2 linked regions of the Arabidopsis thaliana genome follow. The protein of the gene in region 2 purifies or fractionates together with the protein of the main gene of each other region. This does not show direct contact. Each region holds a gene or a part of one and is shown on either strand. Other genes may lie near its edges.

Region 1 (6,076 bases), on a different chromosome or scaffold from region 2:
AGTGATCTCGTTTGGTGCGCCGAGGGTAGGTAACTTGGCATTCAAGGAAAAGCTAAACAGTTTAGGAGTTAAGGTGTTACGTGTGGTGAACAAGCAAGACATTGTACCTAAGCTACCTGGTATCGTGTTCAACAAGGTACTTAACAAACTTAATCCGATAACTTCAAGGCTCAATTGGGTCTACAGGCATGTCGGAACGCAGCTTAAACTCGATGTCTTCAGTTCGCCTTACGTAAAACGTGATTCAGACTTAGGGAGGGCTCATAATCTAGAGGTGTATCTCCATGTTTTGGATGGCTTCCACCGCAAGAAATCTGGGTTTAGGGTTAACGCTAGGAGAGACGTTGCTTCGGTGAACAAGAGCACAGATATGTTGTTGGATCATCTAAGAATACCTGAGTTTTGGTACCAAGTGGCACATAAGGGTCTGATCCTTAACAAACAGACTGGCCGGTGGGTGAAGCCTGTCCGTGCACCTGAAGACATTCCCTCTCCGTTACCGACCGGACCAAAACCTATTTATAGCTTATGAGAAATAAATTTATTTTCCATTCCATTCATTCGTTTTCTTGAATCTTTAGTCCTTGTGAATTTTGGTTACAACATTTCAGTTCAATGAATATAGATCAAGCTGTGACAATAATGTATATATGTTTGAAACTACTTTAAATACAATTTGCATCAGCTAAAGAAATCAGAACATCAGAGTAGAAGAATATTAATGATGAAAAATCAAGTTGATGTTTAAAAGTAGCTTACAAAGTTACAAGTTACAACAACCATGGAACACATACAAAGAAGAATCCTAAACAAACCCTAAAATTCACACACATAACAATAAAAGCTTCTAAAAAACCAGCAAAACAAATCTATGAGATAATTTGGGGATTGGATTCAAATTTTAAACGCCTGCTATTGCGTTGAAATCTTGATAACGAGACATTGCGCCTTTGAACTCGTGTTCTTCTGGTTTGTGAGAGCTCAAGCTATGCGGAATGTATGCTCTGAAAATCTCCTCTAGGTCTGGACTCTGCTTCAGCTCACGGCAAGCTACCTCGAGAGCTGTGTGTTCGAACCCTCCGTAGAATTTCTGGCGGCACACATATCCGAAGATGAGAGAGGTGATAATGAGAGGGATCACAAGGGCCGTGTAGAAGAATGTCTTGGCTCCTAAGTAGCCAAACATTACCACTTGGAATAGAAACAACGCTGCTAGTATGCGCTGGTGAATATGCGGCCACATTCTTCCATAGCTCTCGTATGATGGAACGTACACTTTCAACGCCTGTCATACCCCGAAATAAAACAGTTCAAGATCACATTTTTGATAACCTAAGTGTTTATGGGTATAGTAAATAGAGAGAAAGTCTGACCTGATTCCTGAGGACTAGCCAGCCTAAACCAAAGTAGGTGATGCCGAATATGAGGATAAGAGGAGCAATGACTGAATAGCAGAACGTGATTGTGAGGATGAGCATGTCTCCGGGAACCCTAGTCGCATAGCTTAAGTCTCCCGGGTACCAAGCTTCTTTGACCTCCGCTTCGGTTTTGCAGAGATACTTCTTTTTCAGGTGGAAGATTATCAAAGGTATGATCCGAGACAGCTCAAGGCCATAACCGATAAAGAACCTGAAAAAAAATCATCAACATAAGATTTAGGGAACAAACGAACAATACATATGCTATTTAAGTCAAGAAGACCAAAATCTCACTTGAGAGCAACGTAGGTCAGGAAGAAAGTTGCGCTCTTAGGGAGGCTAGTAGCCAAAAGGTTAATAATCATGTCGAGTTTGGGATTTTTCGCGATATCCTTCACTGTGTTGAACAAAGTCCCAGCAAGGGTAACACCAATGAAGACATTAAAGACCGAGAAGTAAAAGTACTTCCCTGAAGCAGCCCTAATGGCATGGCTCTGTGAAGGAATCCCCTCGGCTTTGGAGAGAAACAAGAGAAGCTTCGGCAACATGGCCAAGAAAACAATGAGCGCAATCTGAGGAAGGAAAGACTCCAAAACGGTTCTTATGGCGGTTATCTCCACAACCGGCTTTATGAACGGAATAATCCTCTGAAGATTCTTAAGAGTGGTGATGGCAGAGACGAACGCGATTGGTATCATGTAAAACAGAATGGTCACTGCAACAAAGAAGTAGATGAAGTATTGCCGGATTATTCTGCTGAAGAGCTTGATGTTGAGATTCTGCCATAGGAGCTGCCGTGGCTCAGGAGCTTCGGTCACAGTCCATTTATCAACCATCTGGCAGTGCAGAGACTGAGCTGCTGATGCAGCAGCAACCCTGGTTGTGAAGAAAACCACTGCTGCGGTTTGCTGCTTCTCAGCAAGAACCGCTTTCTGCTCTGTTTCCAGTTTGGCTACAGACTCGTTGATTAGCTCAGTGTAATACTCAATGCTGTCTACTTGTTTACCGACTAGCCCACAGAAGCCGGTTTTGTTCGTGGGACGGTTATTAGTTGCTGCTAATATTGCTTCTGCTCGCGCAAGCTTCTTCTTGTAACCTTCCAATTTTTCCCATATTTTATTAACCTATACAACACAACAAAGAGCAAAGGTTAACATATTAACATTATGATGCCTAAAACCTTAAAACATATGACTTTCTTAGGCCAGAACAAGTAGATACCTTGCTGTTTTCTGTTGCGACAAGCGATCTGTAGAATGTCTCAGGGTATATTTCTCTGAAATAAGAATCAATAAACTCTTTCTGTGTCTGCCCGTCAGGTGGTGCAGGCATATCCCTAACAAGAATAGCGAATTGCTCGGGTTTTACATCAGCAGACATCAGAGCTTGAGCTCTCAATGAAGAGACATGCTTATAAGCTTTCCACAAGAAGAAATATGTGACCAAAGATATCCAGTAAACAGCTCCTAGGAACGCCCACAGCCTCGAACTTTTTTTCTGTTCAAATGAAAGGATACACATTTTGCTTTAGACTATCAAAAACTGAAAATGAATCAATAGGCAGAATGGAGTTATTGTTGTGTTTACTTACTGTGATGTTAGCCATTGATAGATTATCAAGTTGGCTAAAAGTTCCTTTGCTTGTGGTATCTGTCGCATTCTTTGTGTTCTTTATGTTGTTGTCTGTAGCGGCTAGAGGCAGTAGAGTTGGTAGGAGAAGAAGACTGGAACAAGCAAATATCCCCAGAACTGCATCAAACAAAAGCCAATTTTCAAGACATCATAAACACTTTACCTTCACCAAAATCACTGGCTCGTATATATAGACTTCAAAAAGTTCTATCTACTGATTCTAATTTCAATCACCAATGTCTAAAAGTAAAACAGAGATAACATAACATAGCAAACAAAATAGTCAGAGCCAGCAATTTACAAACAAAAAAGTTTCCATTTTGAAACGTTTTTTCCCCCAATTGTCTCTAAAGATCGAAACTTTATTAGGTTAAATCTCAAACCCAAATCAAAACCAACAGAAATCAGCAGAATTCCACCAAACCCTTGAATTGGAACCACTAAAGTAACAGAGAACAGAGATGAACAGAGAGAGATTGAGATCGAACCAGTGCTCAAGAAGACAAAGTGGACAGCAGTATCGACGCCGGATAAGTTAACGACATCTTGTTCAGAGGAAGTCAAAGCTTCACGCATCCAAGCAAAAGGGTTTCGAGTCAAGGAGGTGCCTTCCCATGGCTCCAGCCCTTTAAGGATCCGATTCGGGTAATAAATGGGAGCATTTCCAGATTTGCGAGAAAGCCAGGTGAAGAGAAGCATGAGAATGACGAAGATAACAAAAGATGTCCCTAAGGACACAAGAAAAGATCCAAACTCCATCTGGGTTTAGCCAGAGGAATCTCTCAAGCTCTCTGTTTCTTTCTAAATCTTCTCAAGTTCTCTAAAGTAGCCGTTTTTAAAGGGGTACAACAAAAGAAGGAAAGTAACAGTTTATATTGTCTTCTGGTAATTACAGGTGAGAGAAGACAGGCTTTTTCTTTTGTCACTTTATTGGTGTATTCACAGAAAAAGAAAGGAAGATATTTTTCTATTGTTTGTTTAATCTCTTTGTGGAATTGTGTAACGGAGGAGACTGGAAAAATTGAATATTGTGGAATTGATTAAATGGTGGGAGAAGGAGAAGGAGAGGTGTGTGAGAAGAGAGTGAAGAGCGTGTTTAAGTGACAAGGCCGACAGGTGTTGATGATAGAGACACCAAAGGAGATGGATTTTTTAACCCTACTTCAGGGTCCTCCTCCTCCTCTCTTTACCCATTTTGTTCCCTTTTTTATACGTTTTTATTTTATTGTATAATAAATTATTCTTTGGATTTTTCTCTTTTTGTGCTTTTGAAGTTTCTTCTATTCCCTTCTATTTTCTAGGTTTGTTTCAAAAAAGTACTCGTAAACCTTATTTACTACTACTTAGAGATCTTTGATCAGTATGACATGTTTAATGTATCTCTTAATATTTGGAAAAACATATGGTAAGAAATTACCTTTATTTCGCAAATATTTACGGTTATGGTGACATATCAATCATATAACAATTTAAGTTCAAAAAAATACTTGTATTACTATATAAATCAAAGCATATTTTGATTTAAACTAGTAATTTCATCTGAAATCCGGTTTTTCAAATAATATATGTTTTCATCCTTTTACTTAATAGACATCTTTATAAAATATATGATAGTATATTAAATTTACATAATTTGAATAACTCATAAACAATTTGCGAAATAGGTTCGTTTATGTCGAAGTTGAATATTGACTGTGTCGTAAGTAATGTGGTGGAAAAGCATTCTTGATGATATGCGTCATTTTACTCTAGTGGAGACGACCCTTGAAACAAATATATGCATCTGATTTTACACAAAAGCCTACGAAACACATCAAGATCGAATGTTATTTTGTATGTGATCAAATTCAATCAGAGGTAATAGCAACCAACCACATCTCATCAGACTCCTCTACGTTTCTTTGAATTCTAAGATTAGAAAGAGTTCAATTTCTTCTTTGAGATGTGGAGCATTCGTGATTCCATGCTTTAACTTGAACGGATATTTGAATTCTAATCTCATAACTTGTCCACTCAACAGAAACAAAACAATTTTTTCTTCTTTTTTCCTTGGTTTTTTTTTCCTTAGTTTTGTTGACTGCTTGTAGGGAATACCAGTTATTTGGGTACTCTAATTCATATTTTTATTTCCTCCAATATCAATATTCCTCTATATTCATTCTTCTTTTACTCTAAATATTCCACCAATCACACATTATTTTATTTGTATTTTATTATAAGCATTCACCAGTCACATGCACTTTATATGTTTGTATAGTTTACGTAAGAAAAAATTGTCTTGTACGTGTGTAGAATAAAAATTACGGGGATCCACACAAAAAAAAAACTTTTATGCAGTTTCAACAAGTTTTGAAATATAAAACCAAAAAAAAAGAACTAAAAACAATCGAAAGACGTCCACGACATGCTGTATTTATGTTTTACCTCATTCTATTGTTTTAAATTTTAATACTAGTGTATATCTCTTCGCCATATTTTAATCAGAAGATAAATAAATTATTGGTTTTCTTTTTTTATACAAAGAAAATTTATTGTTTTGTTTGGTGTGTTTCCATGCATGACCAGTCATGTAATATTGGTCCAATACCGGTCCTTAATTCCTTTTATGTCGATCGGGTAAAATCCACAATAGATAGATCGAAAATATATGTTATTTTTGGCATCCAACTGAATTAAATAGATAACACAAGTCACTGGACAAAACAGTAGATTTCCACTGAGACAAACCATTAATTTGGGAGAATAAATTCATAAATCTATATATAATTTATGCGAATGTGATAAAAGTTGTTATTCACAAGACAAAAGAGACCCCAAAACAAAACAAAAAGCCGTTGTCCAGTTGTTAATGCCACCTCGACGTAAAACTTCATTGCCGACACCGAAAAAAAGCTTGAAAGGGTCCCAAACCTTATCTTTATTATATGTCGATCGAAGACCCTAAAGTCTTATCTACAATGATATTTCTGTTAGTATTTGTTATTTGAAAGTAACGCCGTTCACAGATTTGGTTAGGTGGCTATTGA
Region 2 (4,359 bases):
TTCGCATGTTCCAAATCACTAAACCGTTTTTCAAGCTAACCAAGTATCAACCAAAGCTTGAAGAATGGTGGTTTAAAAATTCATTTGATTCTGGAATAAAATATAAGAGTTTAGACTTTATTCGGTTATTTTTAGATTTTTTTTTTTAATTCTTAAGACTTAGAAGATATTTTAGATTTTGACAAAAATCTCACAATACCGCCTAAAAAAACGAATGGAATGGTGATAGAGACAACCGAGATTAGTTGTTTTGAATTCGCGATGTTTTATTATTTTATTTTCGTCATTACTCCTACTATTTTAGTATATGTTACTATTTTAGACTTTTAGTTAGATTTAAATATTTAATTACTTTATTATTATTGTTAGACCATGGTATAATTATTTTTATATTTATATTTATACAAACTAATAATTTCTATAATATTAAATAAATTTTAATCAATTGATCCGTGGTCGAATCCGGTTGATCCATTGACCCCGTGACCTAAAAAGTAGTCTAGTTCACCATCCAGGTCGGGTTTAAAAAGATTGCATTTAAGTCTAATTATTGGGCATAGAGAATGCTGAAATAGTAAGTACATAAAGCTGGAGAATCAAACCTGATTACACTGTACAAAGCCATATAGGAAACAAGTGTCAATTCGTTCTTCTTTGATGTCCATATCATATGGACCATACGAGTCATCATCCTCCAAAGATCTTAATCTTGATTTTATATAAAAAGTTATGGGTCTTTCTTTATAGTGGTGCAGAGTTAAGGCTTTGAACATTAGAAACAACAAACTTGGAGGTACCCAAATATCTCTGATTCATATCAAATCAGTTACCAAATCACTCAGGCCGTACCAAGCAAGATATAATGCATCTGCAAGCAGATCCGAAACTGGAATGTGTCTTATGAAAACACCAAAAGTATTAAGGAAGAATTGCAAAATATACATACAAAAATTATACTATAAAAATCTTATGCAAGTGAGACTTATGCCTTATTTCATCTAAAGAAGCACGAATGTCTAATCATCAAGATTACACACTGATTTCTCGATAACTATATACAATCTTCCGGTCCCTTTCATTTTCCTCCAAAGCCAAAGCAGCAACACTGTCAAATTGCACAAGACAAACCAATGTTCAACACACACTCACTATTTGAATACGTATTCACTAATGATTATACTTGAAAATGAGTTTTAAAGAATGTCTTACTGAGGAAGTGTTGTTCGGGTTACGGGAGCTTTGATGAGTCGGCGTTCTTGAAGATCCACTCACATTTGCTCCAGAACTTCTCTCTTCACGGACTTTATTGAAGATATGCGTGTATCCGTCAGCTGATGACGGGTTGTTCTCGTCCCAGTCACCGAATTTAGGCACCACTGTGACTTTTTCAGGCTATATATAAACAGATGACAACACATAAGCAACAAACAGAGATATTCTCACTTTAGAGGTTAAAAGTGAGATTCTTACACTTTCATCAGCTCTAAGGTTGGTAGGTTTAGGCCTAGATTTTCCAGTACCATCATAAGAATTCTTATGCAAAGGTGACTTGTTGTCATAACTATTGTTCTGAGAAGCTCTTCCTTGTCTTTTGTTAGCAGCTTCATTTGATGAACCACCAGCATCACCAAACTGTTTCAACTCGCTCTCTTCTCGGCTTCTCATATGCTCACGTGATCTTCTAACCGTGTCAACTTGCTCAGGTTTGGTTCTGGAAGAAGGAGGATGAGGAGGAGCTTGTGATTGAGAGTCAGAGTTATACTCCGGGTCATTCGGGTTCATGATCTTGCTACCGGGTGCTCGAGTCTTACGAGCTTTGTCAAAGTAAGCTGTGTAAGGAACATTCTCCTCAGCTTCCCAGTTTCCAAATTTTGGTACATTCGAACGCTGTTGCAACAAACAATTCAACAACAATGTCCTTCCACAAAACATTCAATAACATAACATCCTAAAGAACAATCATCACAGAAACAAGATAGCAAATTCACTTAAGAATCCAAAACAGAACAAATACAAATTGGGTTTATCGATTTCGACCAAGTACAATGATAAAGTTGAAATCTTTGCTAAGCAAAAATAGAAACTTTACCATAAAAATAGTAACTTTCATAAAACCCTTTTCTTATCTAAAGCAAATCAGAATCATAAAGTTGAATACTAATAGACATCGCAATCCATAGAAATGTTATCTCAATAGGAAGAACCATAAATGCAAATAGATTAAGACTCAACTTTCTACAAATCCTCCAAAAAAAGGGTCAGAGATTGACGGAATCGAAACAAAAACTATAATCTGAGAGAAAGCTCTAGACCTAAATAAGAAGAAGAGGAGAAGGAAAGAAGGAAAGAAAACACTTACTGCCATGGGAGAGAGGTAGCTAAAGAATTGAAGTCTGAAGCTTTTGTTAGGTTTGAGAGAGAAAGACAGAGAGAGATGTGAGAAGGAGAGGAGACGAAGAAGAAGTTTTATAAAAGCGTTGACTAGTGGTGATGCTATGTATTCTTTGACCCTTCCTCTCCTCTCTCTAATCTTCTCTTCTCTCTTTGTCTCACTCCAAACTCTATTAATTTCATTTCTTAACTCTATTACTAAATTTTCATGTATTGTCAAGAGCACTCAAACGCCGTTACCGTTACCGTCACCGTTAAAGGCGGCTTTATTTTGGTGTCCATGTTACATTGTTTTCCTCTTAAAAGATTGTAATAAATATTTTTGTCCTAAAGAATTGGATATGTGGGTCGGAAGCAACTTTTGGTGGAATCTTCTGCTCTAGTAGATAAGTTTTGTGGATCTAATAATTATATGCTAATAGAATAATTTGATTATTGATAGCAACAATGTTACAATGTTATAGCAGAATTTAGTGAATTATTGATCTTGGATTTTAGCGGATTAATGAGTAGTAATAACTGAAATTTCTTTTGGTGACGATTGGTACCAATTCGTCTATAGATAGGTTACCATTTGAATCAACTACTTGCAATTTTTGTGATACAAATAGTACAATAACTATTTTTACAAATATCGCCATTTAACGCTAGTACGTATACTTTTATTATTTACACTCATAGTTTTTTTTAGAGAAAACTTAAAAGTGTTTTGTGAAGAGTACTACAAAGTGATAGTAAGTAAATAAAAAGTGTTCTACGAGTACAAGGAAAAAAAAAAGGCAGTATGAACAAAATAGTTAGAAAACTAGAAATGAGAAAGTTATCATCAAAGGTGGTTGACCACAACTACCTAATCTCTTTTTGATCTTAGTTGATGTTTAAGGTTTTAGCACACTAATCAAGAAACTAATTAAATGATCAATTGTTTCTTGGTTTTCACATTAAAACATCATTTATAAAACTCAACAAAATTATTCAACCAATAACAAAAGAAAGAATTGAAAATGTTTATGAGAAATTGAGAATATTAACTTCTGAAAAGAAAAAGAAAATAATCATATGGAGACTTTTTGTGTTAGCAAAGTCAAAGCTGCCTCTTTACACTGAAAGACCCTTTTGAGAATTTACGTACCTCTTTCTTCCAAGAACAAATAACATGTCTCGTAGCATCTATTATCGAATCACCAATGACAATAAGATGTTCACTAAAAACCATAATTGGAACATTATTTTAGTAATTTTTTACTAGACAAAGTTGAAAAATGGAAAGTATTCAGCGTTGTTCACATCAATTTATTTGTGGTTGCCGTAGCGATAATTATTCAATGCTCCCGTACTCATACACACGTGAACTATATAGTCCACACGTACAAGTGTTTTCACATGGTTAATGCCTTAATGGGAATATTTTAGAGATTGTTCACGAAAAAATAAGAAAGATCAAATCAAAGAAGACAGATCGTTCAGCTTCATCAGTTTCTCAACGTGAGTGTGTCTTTTTATTTTTTGTAGTCAAGTGATATGGTTAGTTAAGACTAAAGACAACTAAGAGATCGTGTGCATTCTTAATTCTTTTGGTGTTATTTAGTTTTGGAGCGTTACTCTATTTTTGGGACATACAACAATCCACCCCAAATCAAGTTTATTTTATATAAATTGGTCCACGACGGATTTCTTCTATTTGTCTCAATCCATACTCTTACGGACTATAATATATAAAATGGTTCAATCCGCAAACGAATTTGTCCGCCACAACCATACAAACCAGTGTCACAAAGCCACAAAGGTAAGGGTTTCTCAATACATTATTTAAGGGGTTTATCACTCTCTTAGTCTCTTTAATAAGTCTCAATTCTTAAGTCTCTTTCACATTTGTCAATTAACTTGAATTTGCACTTTGGTACTCTGCTTTTCTCAAAGGGACCAAGAACCTCTTGGTATTTTCTTCTCACTAAAATTGAAATTGAC

Evidence for each region.
Region 1: the proteins of RIN4 (region 2) and ERD4 purify together in Arabidopsis thaliana (affinity purification with mass spectrometry, with the first as the bait; one study listed by BioGRID). This does not show direct contact.

Annotation. Positions count from the first base shown.
Region 1 is NC_003070.9:10,713,625-10,719,700, reverse strand, and holds ERD4 (Early-responsive to dehydration stress protein (ERD4)), read right to left. Parts: upstream 4,220-6,076; 5' UTR 3,810-4,219; coding exon 3,539-3,809; intron 3,168-3,538; coding exon 3,010-3,167; intron 2,916-3,009; coding exon 2,640-2,915; intron 2,543-2,639; coding exon 1,713-2,542; intron 1,630-1,712; coding exon 1,374-1,629; intron 1,286-1,373; coding exon 902-1,285; 3' UTR 704-901; downstream 1-703. Other genes in the region: DLAH (alpha/beta-Hydrolases superfamily protein), read left to right, coding at 1-532. UniProt on the Arabidopsis thaliana protein: Acts as a hyperosmolarity-gated non-selective cation channel that permeates Ca(2+) ions. Mechanosensitive ion channel that converts mechanical stimuli into a flow of ions: activated in response to membrane stretch. Not activated in response to membrane poke.
Region 2 is NC_003074.8:9,130,464-9,134,822, reverse strand, and holds RIN4 (RPM1 interacting protein 4), read right to left. Parts: upstream 2,686-4,359; 5' UTR 2,366-2,685; coding exon of another isoform or gene 2,360-2,365; 5' UTR 1,933-2,359; coding exon 1,471-1,932; intron 1,393-1,470; coding exon 1,210-1,392; intron 1,106-1,209; coding exon 1,076-1,105; 3' UTR 735-1,075; downstream 1-734.